3 linked regions of the Schizosaccharomyces pombe genome follow. The gene in region 1 interacts genetically with each later gene. Each region holds a gene or a part of one and is shown on either strand. Other genes may lie near its edges.

Evidence for each region. A genetic interaction does not mean that the proteins touch.
Region 2: mutations in mde6 (region 1) and toe4 together harm fitness more than expected from each alone (negative genetic interaction), as found in Schizosaccharomyces pombe (one large-scale study listed by BioGRID).
Region 3: mutations in mde6 (region 1) and SPOM_SPAC17G6.03 together harm fitness more than expected from each alone (negative genetic interaction), as found in Schizosaccharomyces pombe (one large-scale study listed by BioGRID).

What each region holds. Positions count from the first base shown.
Region 1 is NC_003424.3:3,694,619-3,700,574, reverse strand, and holds mde6 (muskelin), read right to left. Parts: upstream 4,011-5,956; 5' UTR 3,068-4,010; coding exon 2,823-3,067; exon of another isoform or gene 2,781-2,822; coding exon 2,207-2,780; exon of another isoform or gene 2,155-2,206; coding exon 2,048-2,154; exon of another isoform or gene 2,006-2,047; coding exon 1,265-2,005; exon of another isoform or gene 1,217-1,264; coding exon 1,037-1,216; exon of another isoform or gene 994-1,036; coding exon 738-993; 3' UTR 548-737; downstream 1-547. Other genes in the region: pun1 (SUR7 family protein), read left to right, coding at 4,547-5,413; ain1 (alpha-actinin), read right to left, coding at 5,684-5,956.
Region 2 is NC_003424.3:115,542-122,268, reverse strand, and holds toe4 (transcription factor), read left to right. Parts: upstream 1-2,035; 5' UTR 2,036-2,160; coding exon 2,161-4,074; 3' UTR 4,075-4,208; coding exon of another isoform or gene 4,209-5,576; 3' UTR 5,577-6,215; downstream 6,216-6,727. Other genes in the region: SPOM_SPAC11D3.08C (amino-acid permease), read left to right, coding at 61-1,713; SPOM_SPAC11D3.06 (MatE family transporter), read right to left, coding at 4,209-5,576; mfs2 (MFS family membrane transporter), read right to left, coding at 6,549-6,727.
Region 3 is NC_003424.3:3,591,078-3,595,579, reverse strand, and holds SPOM_SPAC17G6.03 (phosphoprotein phosphatase), read right to left. Parts: upstream 2,543-4,502; 5' UTR 2,526-2,542; coding exon 618-2,525; 3' UTR 513-617; downstream 1-512. Other genes in the region: protein farnesyltransferase beta subunit Cpp1, read left to right, coding at 1-383.

The DNA.
Region 1 (5,956 bases):
GAATATTTATTTTTGGAAGTACGAATCGTTTTTAGCAATTAAACTTGCAGTTGTATATATATATTTGTTTAATGATAAGAAGCTGTTCTTTTTTTTTGTAGTATTCAGTGTATTATGGAGATCGTATTCGCACGTGTCATAAAAAAAAATTTACTATTATAAACTTTTTTTTTTTTTTTTTTTTTTTTTAAAAAAATAAAATACGCATATACCTTCTATTTAAATAAAACTACGTAAAATAACTTAGTTTGAATATTTTTTTTTTCGAATTCGCGTGCCTATTTTAGTATTGGTATAGGTAAAATCGAAAAGAAAGTGTGGTATTAACAAACATGATGAATATTCATTCCTTTGTATGCAACATAAATAAATTGCGATTAAATTGGTTAAAGATGAATAAATTATTTATTGTTCTTGTGAATATTTAGTATCGTGTAGCATCAGGGAAAGGCGAAATTCGCATTATAATCATAATAATATTGGCGTCTAATACACTATTACTATAGAAGAATTGGTATTGCTATTTACTCGTATACTTTTGACTATTCACATGGTATATATTCTTTCATTTTATCTAAATTTATATGAGAGTTTATTATCCTAGAAATTCAGCTAACATTTGATTATCAAGAAACACAACCTAATTACAGGTAATGACAGAGAGCCTGATATTTTCGTAAACCAACATTTAGCGTAGTAAATTGGTTGACTGGAAGATTTATTCCCTTCAATCCGGTTCAAGTGAAAAATTCAATCATATTTAAGAGGGATTCATTCGGTGCAACAGTATTTTCATCAACCGGTAATAAATCATATATTGTCTGAAAAGTTTCAAATCTTCTTTGTGCAATATCTTTGTTTTTATGCGTTCCACTAAAAGCATCCAAAATCAGCGCATTCCAAAATAAAGGACTTTTGTCAAATTGCGGCTGCATAGATTTTTGAAGGTACTCAACTGCCTTAGCAAGATTTTCAGAGACTAGTTCATGAAAGCTAAATTATGATTAGTTGATTGATGTCGATACTTAGTACATACCGATGCAAGTGTAACTGGAGAGACACATTAGATAGACAATGCTTTATCCCCCAACGATCTAGAATATCTAGTTTCCAGAAATCTGAAAGCTTCATTGGTCTCAAAGGATGCGTACTTGCATTTCCACCCATTAAATATATAATGTTTCTATTCAAATCAGCCGCGACTGCGTGTCCAAACCTTTTAAAATTAAGCGTCAGATGATTTACCTTTTTCCCAAAGACATACCTGGAACAAGGATGTTCATTTCCTTCTTCTTCATTAATATCACTTATTTTAACCCATTCCTCTGTCGTTATGTAAAATATCCATAAACTTGGTCGAAGGACTTTGTGAATGTTTCGCTGTTCAAAACCAAACATAGTGAAAATGCGATGGTTTTTCGAATCCATAATACTCCTTTGACAAAATGAAGGACTTGGACTTTGGGATGTATCGTTTTTCCTAACATGCTGCACAGCTTCTCTTGTTTCTAACTTAATATAACACATGTCTAAGATGAATTCTTGATCATAGCTTTGACCACCGAAAATATAAAGTTTGTTCTCATCAGGAAAATATTCCATGCAATGACCCATCCTTTCAATCTTAAACTCACAGTGTTTTTGACGATCCTCATACCTGACAGCCAACTGTTCCCAAATTCGATTTTTCGTATCATATGCATAAAGTCCCTCGAATACCAGTTCATCTGGATCCCATTTACATCCACCACTCACATATACAATACCTCGCTTTTCGTCTACTGACATTCCATGGTCAAAAATAGCGGCAGGCCCACCATCTTTTGAAGTGTCATAGGATAAACATGTCCAAACTTTTTTGCTAATATCAAATTCCCAAAAATCTGTCCTTGCATCTGGGGGCACCTCGGTTTCCCTAGATGAGCCAAAGTAATTCCCAAGTAGATACAGCTTTTGTTGGCTAGTATCAATGACCATTCTGTGACAAACCCTCTCACCAGGAATTCTAATACGTTAATGGATAGATTCTTTCTAAAAAATGACATACCCATATTCATTCTCCATAATCCATAAATCTTTATCAACATTGTAAATCCAAAAATCAGAAAATGTTTTGACACCATCCCAGCCGCCGTATAAATAAATACAATTGTCCTGTATGAGGATAACTGTTAATACAATAAAATATCGAAAAAATCTAAGGTACCTTTGGATTGTAAACCATTTGATGACCGCTTCTTCTACTTATTCCTTTCAAAAATGTAGCTATTCTATGCGACCGTAATTTGGTTAATTTATGCTTTGGCCATTTCTCAATAATTTCAGCTTGAAGTTCTTGTTGAAACAGAAGAATGGTTTTTTGAGTGTCTCCTAGTCTGCAAAATGCATCATACATTCTCATTAAGGGTGAATGTGGTATGGAAAGCTGGTAGCTTTGAAGTATCACAGAACATATATCAAGTTTCCCTTTAAAAGCAAAGTAAGAGAGAAGGCAATTGAGTGCCTTTTTTTCTAGATGTAAAGCTCTGTTCTTCTCTGTGCATGATAAAGCGCTGGCTGAGTCAATGCCGTGTAAAGCAACATACCATATACTCATGTTAAATTCATGAGCATGAGCTTGAAGTGGAACAATTTTGATATACTTACAAGCAATTGAATTCTCAATTTTGTTATATTTCTTGATACACAATGGAAATGTTTCTCGATTTGAATCATTTGTCAATCCAGCTCTTAATAAAGGGAACATCAAATGCTGTTCACGCCCCCCATATACTATAAAACTTAAAACTGTTAGAGGAAGAAAAAAAAAATAAACCGCTTACTCTTTAAGGTTGCAAAGATGGGGAGTGTGGAATTTCCCAAAGGTGATATCGGTAACCAACGCAAGTTTATCAAGTTTCAGAATTACATACTGTTCTTCAGAGTTGTTGGGTTTACATATTGAAGTATTACAGCTCCATCGGCTGTTAGCCTGGTGTGGATTATCGATAAGTATATTGATAGGATGAAATGCTCCAGAATAGCTGGACCAGCTTTGAATGGTATAAGACAATTCTTTACGTTCCATTTAAAGAATCAATAATTATCTTCGTCTGACCGCTATGAGTCTAGCAACAATGTATGTGTATTGGAGAAATCAGGAAAGCACCTAATGTAAACAAACAAAAGAGGCAGTAATGATCGCTTCCTTAAGGTGCTTTACAGTCTTGGTAAGGGTCTAAACTTAAAAGGGAAATTTCAGTAAACAATTATAATTCATTTTGTAAAAGTTGAAATTGGATCCAGTATTGAACTTAACTTATTGACGAATATGAAGAAAGTAGTTCTGTTCTGCCATTCGATATTACAAAAGAAACTCCAACAGCTCTTTCGCATTTCTCCAGAAAAAAAAATAACTATTTTGTCATTATCTGAGAATTTCGCTCATTTATTTGGCAAATTAAATGAATTCACAAACTACCCAATCTTGCGATGGACCAAACCACTTTCCAAAATTTCAATTGTAACTAGAGCAACACAACCATATTAAGTATAAATTATTGGTTAATTAAGTATCCTCGTCATGAAAGCATGGTAGAAGATAATATGGGAAATCTATATGATGTTAGTTTAAATATTATATCTGATTCATTGACGACGTAAATTCCTCTTCTCTATTATATAATCACGGATCTTTGAGAGTCATTAAACGATTAAATGTTAATATGATAATCATATGATTTCTTTTTTATACAAAAACTATATAAAGCCCAAATTATTGTGTTCGGTATCATGGAACGAATACTAAGAAAAGCAAAGCGCTTATGTTGATTTTTTTACTTGGCTATCTAATGAACGCTTTCTTTTCATATATAATGGGGCTTGAAACTCAAGCTGCGCCTATATGTCAGTAATGTACGACACAGCATGCGCCGCTGAGTTCGTATATCAGAACTGTTTCTTTTGCTGCGAAAGAACTGTAAAATTGCTGTCACTGCATCCTTTTCACACGTATAATAGTCGAGCTTGTTGCAAACATCGAAAACGTCCCGCGTTTGGTTTATTTACATTGATATGACCCGTCTGTTTACACTTGGTTGTCATGACAACTTCGCTTTCTCAAAACATATTTTACTCGTAGCGGGCCCTCCGTGTCAATTGTGGCATTCCAAATTTACAGAAGATTAAGACTTTAAGAGATTGCGCCTCTGATGCGTATAAAAGGTTAAGAAACAATCAGCTACTTGCCTTTACGATTGAAAAAAAAAACCAGTTCTCTCTCTTTTGTTTACTATCCATACTATCTTGTTTACTCAATATCCTCGCGTTAAATCGTATTAATTTCAAAGAAATTCGTTTTACAACAGCGTTTTTGAAGTGTTTCCCTCTATTTTTCAGCCGATTTTTTGTCCTTCTTCTTCCCAGCTTCTTGAAGAATTGTTTATTTCTGGAGACTACATATCAGTTTTCCTTATTAATCGTGATATCTATTATATATAATCATATATATTATTCTTTCTTTTTGTCATCCCAAGCAAATTGGTTTTTGATATAACTGTTTGTCAAAATGGGAATGGGGTTCAATCCTATTAAAGCTTTGTTCACTGGTATTGGTACCGTTTGCGTTGGAGTTGGCGCGCTTTTGTCAATTCTATGCATCATCAATCAAACTCAGCATAACATTGCTTTTCAAAATATTTACTTTATTCAACTGAATACTACATCTATCTTTTCTGTCGCCAATCAAACTGCTGTTGTCAATAATACAAGCAACCTACTTAACGAGCTTACTGGAACACTGGTAGACACGCTCGAAACATATATTGATCAAGGTGCTACTGATTTAATCGAACAAGTTGAGCAGGAGATGAAGGACGTGTCTGAACTCCCGGACTGGTACTCCATTGGTCTTTGGAATTATTGTCAGGGAAATTCGTCTGATTATACAAATCCTACTTATTGTAGTACTCCTTCTCCTAGTTATTACTTCAACCCCCTTACAATGCTGGAAACCAGTATTAATAATGCAACTGGTAGCCAAATTAACATCACTTTACCTTCCGAGGTGGATTTAGGATTAAAAGTGCTTAAAGGGGCATGTTATGCTATGCGAGCCATGTATATTCTTGGATTTATTTTCTTTGCTCTGACAATAGTTTCAATCGTTATTTCTTGCCTTCCATTTTTTGGTCCCCTCTTTCTCAACGTCTTCTCATTCTTTGCAACTATTTTTACTTTTATCGCTGCAGTTATCGCAGTTGCAACTTATCGTATTGCAATTTCTGAATTGGAAAAAAATATCGAAATTCTTAACATTCCAATCGTTTTAGGAAAGAAAATTTATGCTTATTCATTCCTTTCAGCAGCTGCTGGCTTAGCTGCTTGTATTCTATATTTTATTGGAAATCTTACATCCGGATACAGTCCACTTTAAGTTGTATCGTCCGTTATTTATTGCCCATTATTTGTTAAAAATTAGCATGTTGTTTTATTTTCCCTTCTTTTTGTATTGATGTCAAGTTTCCTTTTTCTTTCATTTTTATGTTAGTTAGCATTGAGATTTGTTTTTCTTCAGATAGTTACTGTATTTAAAAATATACTTTTCTTTGACCCTTGTAACGTATATATATTGTTATTCAAGTATACTAAATTTTCATCCAAATAATGTTCATTAAGTTTATCAAGTGATTCAAAATGCTCCGTTTTAAACTATTTCTTTGTCTTCGGCCAGTAATTGTTTAATCCATGTAAGATAATCCAGTCCTTCTGAATGTTTGTTCATGTTGCATTCTAAAAACTTTACTATATTAGGACGAACCTGACTCCTCAATAGATCATCGGACGTGACATAAGATTTTCCGTCTGCAACATCACAAAACGCATATAAAACTTGACGAGCACTATCACGATCCTCTAATTCTTCCATCACGATTTCTGTAAAACGCTCATAAGTAACACCCTCTTCCGAGTTAGCAGC
Region 2 (6,727 bases), 3.6 Mb from region 1:
AAGACCAATTTGCTTTGAGAGTTTTCTGCTTGTAAGGACGACTCACATTCAGCATTTACAATGAGTGACATCGACAAAGAAAGCTTAAAACAAAATCAGAAGCAATGGGAAAATGAAGTTGAGTTGGGCGAAAGCAGAGAAGCTAATCAAGATGATGAGCTTCTGATGAGCCTTGGTTACAAACCAGAATTCACTAGAGAATTCTCTTACGTTAGCATTTTTGGTCAATCGTTTGGATCAATGGGTCTTTGTCCGGCTATGGCGGGTTCACTCATTTTCTCGATGAACTGTGGAGGAGGAGGCATGGTTTGGTCATGGATTATTGGATGTATATGTCTGATTCCAGTAAGTATATCATTGGGCGAACTGGCGTCTTCTATGCCTACTTCTGGAGGTCTTTATTTTTGGATTTTTACCCTAGCATCACCATCGTCAAGAGCATTTCTCTGCTGGGTTTGTGGTTACGTGTCAGTGCTTGGCTACGCTACGATTTATGCTTCAACAGTGTACTCTGCATCATCTATGGTACAGGCACTAGCTGTGATAGGTAGTCCTTCTTATTCACCTACAAAATATGAACAGTACGGAATTTACGCAGCGTTGCTTTTCGTGATTTCTGCCATGACTGCAATTCCCTCTCGTGTTATCGCGAAGGTGAACATCATTAATATTACCTTCCAATTCCTTGTATCCATTATTCTTATTATTGCCCTTGCCGCAGGATCTGACTCTACTACTAGAAATTCTGGAAGTTTTATATTCGGTGATTTTACAAATTATTCTGGATGGTCAAACATGGGATGGGCATTTATACTTTCATTCACTACTCCTGTGTGGGTTGTAAGCGGATTCGAATCTAGCGCCGCTGTTGCTGAAGAATCAACGAATGCTGCCAAAGCAGCTCCCTTTGCTATGATTTCCAGTCTTGGTGTGGCTACCATTCTTGGATGGTGCATCGTTATCACCGTTGTAGCTACTATGGGTCACGATTTTAATGCCATTCTAGGTTCCTCTTTAGGCCAGCCTGTAGCTCAAGTACTGGTTAACAATGTTGGAAATAAGGGAGCTTTAGGAATTTTCTCTTTGCTGGTCATTGCCCTTTGTTTGAACTGCATTTCGTTACTGATTGCTGCATCTAGAGAAGTATTTGCTTTCTGCAGAGACGGCGGGATTCCAGGAAGTAGATACTTACGTCTTTTGACTAAACAGAAAGTTCCCTTAAATGCAATTCTTTTAGTGCTACTCTATAGCCTTTTAGTCGGTCTACTAATTTTGGTTAATGTCACTGCCATTTCTTCTGTGTTTAATTTAGCAATTATTGCTCTTTATATCGCTTATTCCGGCCCTCTTATGTGTCGATTTGTGTACAATAAATTTCAACCTGGTGTTTTCTACGTTGGAAAATGGAGCAAACCAGCAGCCTTATGGTCATTAGTTTGGATGTGGTTTATGATTCTTATGCTTTTGTTTCCTCAATATCAAAAGCCCAACCAAGATGAGATGAATTGGGCTATAGTGGTCCTTGGATTTGTAATGGTCTTTTGCGTGGTGTATTATTATTTGCCAAAGATTGGTGGTAAAACTTTTTTTACAGGTCCAATACCTACTGTTCAACAGGAGAACGAGTACATATCTGGTGTTCCACTAAATGAACTATCTTTAAGCAGTTTACCTTTGCCAAAAGATTTTGACCAGAAGCAAATCACAGAGTAATTTAACCTGAGTGTTATACTTTTCTTAACTCTTCTTTTTGGCAACAGCTACGCTGTTTCATTGTATTTTTACTGTGCTTTTATAATTGTATGTTTATTAACAGTTCTTTTTTATTCTTTTGTTCCTAGTCTTAGTTAAATAGCTTAATATTGTTTTAATGTCTTTTAATGAATTAGTGGCTCTGTTATCATTATCAGTAATATAAGATTATATAAAATTTTTTTTATCTTTCGAGTACGTATACTTATCGTCTTGTCCAGATTTTCTTATCATCACTTCCCTTATAACCTATACTTAAGCACGACTTGAGTAGTGCTAAAATAAATCTGCAGATGTATATGCTTTTTAACAGTAAACTGCACCAAAGGCGGTAATGCTTGCTTACAATTGATACGCATTCAGCTAGAATTTAAGATAGTTGTTTAATTACTCTTTTCTTAACATAAGATGTCTCAAAATAAAGCATGTGATCTTTGCAGGTTGAAGAAGATTAAATGTAGTCGAGGGCAACCAAGATGTCAGACTTGTACTCTTTTTCAAGCGGACTGTCATTATTCTAATCGTGCTCGCCGTAAGAGACTTGTTCAAAGAAGCAAGGAGACGTTTGGGGGAATTACGTTACCCGTGTTTGATTATGCCGCTGGTATTAACGGCAATGAGCCAGAACCGAGTGATCACTCAATTCCAAATCAAGAAAATTTTGCATTAACTACTAATGGAACTATTAGTAAAAACATTGAAAAACCCGAGGATGGTGAAGAATCCGTTCAGAGACGCCTTAAATTGCTTGAAGAAAAAATCGATTTGTTGTTAGATATAGCTACTGAAACTTCAGAATTTAAACGTGAAAATAAGGCTATTGAATTACCTTCCTTGGTTACACAAATTAAAGATGCAGAATCGATTGTTATTAAACACAGACAAGGTAGCCCTGTCGACAATACACCTACTCGGATACTGAATGTGGAAAGCTTGTTCCCTCCACAGTTGCCGGACTGGGAGAAGGCATTCCATGACATTCCCAAGAAGGAAGTAGCCCATGAGTTAGTCACGTCTTACTTTCAGCATGTAAATTGGTGGTGGCCTACCTTCGTATATAATGATTTTATGTATGAGTTCGAACGTCTTTATGCGTTCGGGTTCCATAGCAATAATGCTTGGCTAATTTCTTTTTATTCTATTTTAGCATTAAGCAGCATTAGGAAAAGACTTGGTAACTCAAAGACGCTTGCAGAGTCTTTGTTTTCAACAGCTTGGGTTTTTGTTCAAAAGTCCGACTTTTTTCTTACTCCGAGCATTGACAAAGTTCAGGCTTTAATTGTCATGACACAGTACGCAGCTTACCTGTCTAGCTCTTCTTTATGTCGGACTTTGTGCGGCCAAGCCTGCCTCATGGCCCAACAATTAAACTTACATAGAAAGCAATCCACTGATGTGGAGCCTGAAAAGGCTGAATCGTGGAAAAGGATATTTTGGATGTGTTATATTCTCGATAAAAATATTTCTTTGATTTTTGGAACCCCTTCCGTTTTTAACGACAAGGATATTGATTGTAATTTGCCTGATAGCAAATATGAGCTTTTGTTTGGTGTACAATCTGGTGGTGATTTGATATTTGTTCCTACCGTATCGTTGACAATAATTCAGAGTGAAATACGAAATCGACTATACAGCGTGAAGTCACCTACGCAAATGGCAGCGAGAGAAAAAATCATCATACCAATACATCAAAAATTGAAAGCGTGGGAAGAAAACCTTCCTTCTGAAATAAAAATGTATCATGAAATGTTGCTAAACAACACTTTTTCTCCCACTATATCGCTTAGCGATCGGTTCGAATTTTTAACTTTCGCAGGTATGGAAGTTTACTTTTCTTACTTAAACACTTTAATTATATTACACAGACCTAGCTCGTCGACAGAGAATCGAAGGATTTGTATTAATGCAGCCCGTGAAGCAGTTCAATTGTTAAAAAATAGACTCAACATTGATCTCAGGGTCAATGTTAAAGCAGATCCGCTATGGATATTCCTATACTGTCCTTTTACACCTTTTTTAATAATATTTAATAACCTTGTTCACGAAACTGATACGGAAACGGACTCAGAAACATTACTTAACGATTTGGATCTTTTACATGTAATTTACGATTTTTTTATGGAAATGGAGCCAGTTAGTGACGTGGCTTTGGAACTTGTCAAAATTGCAGACAAACTTTTGCGGGTTGCTAAAGAAGTTTGCAGTGCCAAAAATAATGATGTTACGGATTCTACTTTTAAAGATATCGTTGAAGGTTTTGAACTTAACGACTTAAACAGTTGGGATTTTGACAGAGTAACCAATGTTATGAGGAATCTTTAAAAAAATATGAAAGTAACGTTGTTTTATTAATAATTTATTTGCTTTAATGTACATGGTGAACATCATTACCGGTTAACAATGAAGCTATTATCAAACTATTTTGCTTGATCAACTACATGCATCGACCCAAATGTCTAATTGAGTAGTGCAGTCAATTCAGAGGAGTCACCAAATCTTGAGATTGCCTTTCTTGATTGGGAAATCCAGTCAGTTGCCATTACAATTTTCAGTTCTAAAATTCCGACTATGGATAACGCTATTACCTGTCCAATCCAAAGACCGACAAGACCTTTGCCATGGAAGGCTAAATAAATTCCTAGAGGCAGAGCAAACAAATAGTAGGCAGTAATGTTAACTATAGCGCCAACCTTCTGTCTTCCCGTGCCTCTTAAAGCTCCTCCCATTGTACCATTCAAGGAATCTGATATTTGGAAAGCAGCTACTAAGGGCATTACAAGAGCAACCAGCTGAATGACATCTGGATCATTTGTGAAAATCCGTCCATAGATATTGCGTACGGCAATCATGGTAATCATGATAACGCTTCCTACTGCAACACCTACAATTGCTGCGACCTTAGCAGTTAGAGAAGCATTGTCAGGTAACCCAGCTCCGAGATAGTAGGCAACTCGATTAGAAGTAATTATTCCGAGACCGAAAGGAATTGTGTTAAGTAATTGATCTGTGGTCATAATTACTGATTGAGCGGCAAGTGGTACAGCACCAAGTTTACCAGCAACTAGTGCTACTATTTCAAAAGCCCACCATTCTGTTCCCACCATAACGATACCCAATAGTGATAACTTTACAAAAGGTCCAAAGTTCTCTAAGCATCGTTTATTCCAACCATTCCACGCCTCTGCCCCTTTTACGTATTTCGCATATTGAGTTAATAAAATGAATGAAAGCCAGTACGATAATCCAGTTGCCAATGGAGCGCCTTTTAAACCTAATCCATAATAATGGACAAGTAGAAAATTTAAGGCGACATTAAGAGGAGAGGTAACTAGAAGAATATAAGAACCAGCCCTAGTGATTTCTTGTGTTTGCAAAAACTTTTTTAGCAATTCAAAACATACATAACCTAGTCCGCCTGGGATAAGGTATCGTAAAAACTTTTGTGAAGCTTCAGCTAATTCAGGTGTTTGATGCAAGAAAATTAGGATGGGTTTAGAATACCACCAAACTAAACATATTGGCAGATATAGAATACTGAGCACGATGAAACCCGTTTGCAATAGAATTCCCAATTCTTGTTTTTTTCCGGCTCCCCAAAGGTTGGAGCCAAGTGTGTCAAAAGCAGTAGTTCCACCTAGAGCAATCAGCCAGCCTGTGCTCATCGCAAACATGTACGCAAAAGCAGCTACGGAAAGCTCGCTTGGTCCAAGGCGCCCGGTTACAATAACTGAACTAGTTTGCAAAGAGTTTTGCAAGGCATATCCAAGGATTACCGGAGCTGAATTTATCAAAAGGTATTTCACCTCTGTAAGTGGTCTACCCATAATAGTGCTTTCTCAGAGAAAATTTGGATATACGGTGTATTTTTTAATATAAATAAAGAGTACTTCTTAATGTCTGTTCACCGAAGGTTCAAATTTTCCTTTAATAAAAGTTTACTAAGCTTTTATCATATTGATTGAACGGATGGAACCATAAATTTATATCAGAGAACGCTTAGAAGCCGCACATTTAGGGCATAAAACTTCAGATGTCATGGCTAAACATTAGTATATCCGTGGAGATACGGAAATTTAGAAATACCCACGCAAAATATTTTTCGCTTAGCCAACAGACATTGGGAATTCTCGCCGAGTTTTTGCTAACTTAAATGATAGCAGTTAGCATATTTTGCCGGTGAAAATATTATTACCGTCTCACTCCGCTGGTTAAAAATAGTAGGTAACAAATCGGTTGCAGACTAAGAAGCTATTGACTCGCACGTTATTCTTAATTTGTTGAAATTAGTACAAAAATTTGAGCATGAAAGCGAATAAAGAGTACAAAAAATATTTTGTAATTTTACCTTGCATACTCATTGACTGTTAATAATTATAACACTTACCGATGGTGGTAAAATATATAGCAGAAAATAGCTTGGTGAATTTATTAGTCAATAATGATTTGAACAAACATTACAGAAAAAACGATTTGTAATTTCCCAAATAACTGTGTATAAGTATGAATCCAGTTGTTTGGCGTACGCATATATCATTCTCGGTTAATTTTGCTTTTCAAAAGTTTATATTTAGATTGCTGTGACTTTTAGAATGCAACACGAAATAACTTTAAATCTTTACGTTTTTATTAAAACTTTCTAAATTAGTTTATAAACATCCATTCGTTCTTTAAATAGAATAAGCACCAAAATTCATCTTTGCTTGCAATCACTCTCTTACTATATAGATATATGCATGATATGACAATTATAATCAACATTAAATAAACACAACAACAACAAATAATCACACTTGTTCTTACAATTTGTAAGCGTTTTTGCTCCACGCACGAATGCTCTTGCCAAAACGATAAAATATAAAAGGAATGGGAACCATCGCTACAGAAATAAAACCAAGCACACTAGTAGCCCAGTGATCTCCTAAATTAAGGTACATAGGCCTGGCCACCATACTTATGCCTCCACTGGCAGAATAGC
Region 3 (4,502 bases), 100 kb from region 1:
ATAGTTGGTGGGTCGGTGCTAGCCATGTGATTGTGGCTTCAGGCTATGGTTCGGCTTCTCATAAAAGCCTGCCTAACCTTTTTTATAATCCAGAAAAATTATTAGGATATATTCTTCAATGTTGCCAGAGTACAAGCGGCGGTTTACGTGACAAACCACCAAAACGGCCTGATCAATATCATACTTGTTATTGTCTATTAGGGTTATCATCAATTGCTTATGACTACAGATATCACACTTCTGATGGTTGGTCCTATAAACCTTCCATCTTACACTCCTCTTTAAGCTCTTTATTACCGGCTCATCCAATTTACTGTGTTCCTTTTGGTTTTGAAGAAAGAATTAAATCATATTTTCTGTCACAAGAATCATCAAAATTCTAATGGTTTATTTATGAGTTGTCTATGGACTTTAATTTTTCATGAGAGGATTTTTTTTATTATTTTAACGGTTTATGTCCCGAGTTTAATATCATGCCTATTTTACTTCTCTATCAGGTATTTACTTCGTCATTTTTACACATGTTGAATAAATAATAATTCTTGACTTATTTGTTATCTTTAAAATCATTAATGTCATTAGAATAATCCTTACTAAAGGAAATAAACCATAGCCTTTTACTTATATAGGCAATCGTGGTCCCAATAGAGATCTGCATATAATGGTAACAAATCAGTCATAGAATGCTTTCCGTCAGGTCTCGTAAAGTAAAGCTCCCAATCGTCAGGTGAATATAAAGGCTTATCTGCAATTTTATTTAAAATGTCGTCTAAGCGTGGAATAACAAATGATGGAGCAACAACGTCAACAACTTGCTTATCGTCTCCAGAAAAAGAATCATCAAATCCAACTTGCGAGCAAATAAACCGCAGCGGTTCATAATGAGGAGTTGTAAGATGAGCAGTGTCATCTCCGTCATCTCCTAAATCATCGTGTGTAGTGTATCCATATGTCTTGCGAATGGAGTGTTCATAAAAGTCCTCAAATTTTGCATCAGAAACTTGTGGAGTGTTAATTTGAAGAGTATCTTCAGCAATCAGATATCCACTGTGTTGTAGAGCTTGTGGCAGGTACTTAGTAATCGACCATGGGACATCTTTCAAAACATAGAATATATTACTTTTAAAAGGACAGACTTGAAAGACCTCGTCTAAGCCAAAGGCACCTGAATTTAGACCACCTCGAATGCCACCCGAATTTACAATAATATAGTGAGGAATGTGATGTCGAGACTCATTGACGACTATTTTTGGAAAAAGTTCGGATTGAAATAGATGATAAATTGAGTTTGAATCGTTAAATGGAACTTCTGAAAATGCAAACTTTTTTGGGGAACAACCTATAGGAGTAAGTAAGCCAAGTGCCTTCCGAGCTTCGTAAATGCCATTAGAAATAAATTCTCCAAGTGAGGTATTGAAAGAAGACTTTTTTGTTTTCGAATGAAACATAAAGCCCTCGGGATTCCAATCAATATAGGAACGAGAGAAGCTGACACTGGCAGATTTAGCACTTTGCAAAGAGGAAAATATCTGCTGAGATGACCGTCTAATACTTTCGCCTATAAATCTCAAGCGCTCAGCTAGATAAGATTCCACCCCCATTAAAGAAGAAATCCCAGATAACTTGACCAACGATTTGAAGGATGGAATGCCGTTAATTGAGACCCAACCAACTGTTTCGCAATATCTTCCTGACTCAATTCCCACTGCTTTTTCATCGTAAATGGCATAATCTCTAATATGGGAATGACCACCAAGTACTTGTATTGGAGTGGTAGGGAAGTGAATCCGAAGCTCTGAAAGAACGATATCAAGCTCTGAGGCATTGTGAACGGGTACATGAGCGGGAATCAGAATCAGATCGATGTCTTTATTTGATACCATATCGTTCCACCATGGCTGTAGCGAGAATTGCGAAACTGGGAGGACACGAACCGTATCAGTAGCACCAGAAAATGAGTTTACAAATCCAAACGCAAGGATTTTAACATTGTGGGGTGTAGAAAAGATGGCATATCGATCTCCAAAGGGTACAAAAGAAGAAACATGTTCATCATATATGTCAATGTTTGCAGCTAAATATCGGCCTTCCCACAGAGGAATGAAATTATGATAAGTATCATTTGCAACAGTTGAGAGATAAAGCTCATGATTTCCAGCAACAAGAATATCATAATCCATATTTGCAAGTAATGAATCTGTCCAACTACCAGGGGGATCTGTCAGATCTGACAGGCCCGTACCATCATGAAGATCGCCGGTATCTACTAGCAGTAAATCAACGTCTTTTTGTTTTGCCAAGTGCTTCATATGTTGAACAAAAGAAGCGAAATCTCCTAAATCTCCTGAATAACGTTTATCTCGCGCATGTCCTGCTAACCAGCCATGGATGTCAGTAGTGTGTAAAATATTGACTTGACCCCATGTCAATTCCCGACGAATTGCCAAGGGCAAAGTTGCTGAATAGCAAGGATTGATAACAAATAAAAGAGAGAAAATTAATGAAAATGTATGGGCAGGTTTCATAATAAATATTGGTTCCCAGTATATAGGGTAAGTGCAGAATCGCCAAGATAAGAAGATCAAGTACCAAGTCACAAGCAGCAAATAGTAGCCAGCCAAACCTTCGTAATATGACAATCATTGCTTCCATCAAAAGTCATGGGAGTTTTAAAAAAGAATTCGTAGTCGCCTATTTTTTTTAATCAAAAATTTCTAAATGAAAATTGCGACGTCTGCAAAACGAGCACGCAAATGCAAGATTTTGAGATCGTCAAATGATTAAAAAGCTTTAGTGAAACACTACACTTATGTTATGCCTTTAACTTCCGGTTGGGCATAAGTATTTAGTAAAAGAAAAGAAGAATTGTAAATTGACAATGTGTGGGGAATTGGTTTGACGAACGATAATAGATAATATTATGCAATATTGTAAGTAATATTTATAACCTTATCACAGAGAAAAACGCTTTTAACCAGAAGTATTCCTTCCGAAAAACGTATATTGTCTTTATTCACCAGAGAAGAGTGCAAAAACAAAATATTGTCATTGTTGCTCAAGAAAATGATTAAGCAAGAAAAATTGGTTTTATAGTAATGCAAAAAAATTTGAAAAGGAAAAAATCATTTTTTCCATTCATGAAAATAAATAAAACCATTGAATCTGGCATTAGCATTGTCTCTTAAAAGAATTGGGATCCCGCAACGATGTATTCGTAATACCATAAATATGTATGAATTGCAATACGAGGAAAAGCCAGATTTTTTGTAGAATTTAAAACATAAAAAAAAGAGTAAAAACCAGGGTAAATATTGCAAAGGAGTATGTATCAATTTGCGTTTCCGTTAAAAGAAGGAGCATTCTATTTCTTTCATGAAGACTGCGTTTGCCAGTATCAATAACACTCTAAGCTTACTTTGTTTAAAGAACTTTTTAAAGATAAACAGCAGCCATTAACAGGGTTTTTTTTCCTCCATCAAGCTTGAAGAAATAAACTCATATACCGATTTAAAATAATAATATAAAAAATAAATATTGAATGGGACGGGACTCGAACCCGCGAGCTTTCGCACTGGCGTGCAATGCGTTGAACGCACCTAAAGCCAGCTCCATAACCACTCGGACACCCATCCTTTCTGTAACATACTAACGATTATGTACATAATATAGCAAGGATTAATAGAGCTCAAAATAAAAATAAAAGGTAATAAAAGAATGGATATGTTGTAATGATTAAATACAACTTCGGTTATTCTTTCATTCAGTATGGTTAACTGATTTAAAATGTCCAAACGATATGTTTCGTACAATACATGACGAAAATTTAAGAAGGAGAAGAAACTCATATTCCACTTCAAACGAAATATCAGGTCATTAATAAAGAGGGTTATACAAAAGAGGAAAATTTAATTTCACATTTTTTCTTTCTTCTATTTGAAACCTGCTTTTCCGCCAATTCATCTAGTCATGGTTTGTATCGGTCAACTTATAGTGACATTTGGTATGGAACAAATGAATGATTTGTGTAAATTTTATGGCGATTAAAGAAACTTCCGCTAAACATTCTATTTCCATTCATTCTACTTAATTAATTAATTTATCCCATCAAACGATATTTTGAAGCCACAAAACTAGGGGCATTCTTTATTGCACCACCTGTGCAAAAAGTCGTCTTATTCACTCATCATTCATATTAAAAGGAAAACGTTTCCTATCATTCCCCAAGTTAGAAAATTAGCATAGTTCATAGAAATGTAATCAAAAATTCAAAAAAAAGCCTTAATGCTGTGAGCCTTCTACGCATTCATACTAGTGATGGAACAGTAACGTTTAGTTTCATGCTTTTTTCGTCGTCAACTTCATATCAGTGCTCAGGTCAACGCTAATAGTTCAATGCTTTAAGTCATGTCAATTTAAGAGGCTTTAAAAAAAAATATCAGAAATTTTTCTTCCACGGTGTCCGAAAAAATCTAAAGGAAAATTTTTATCGAGTAATATGAGAG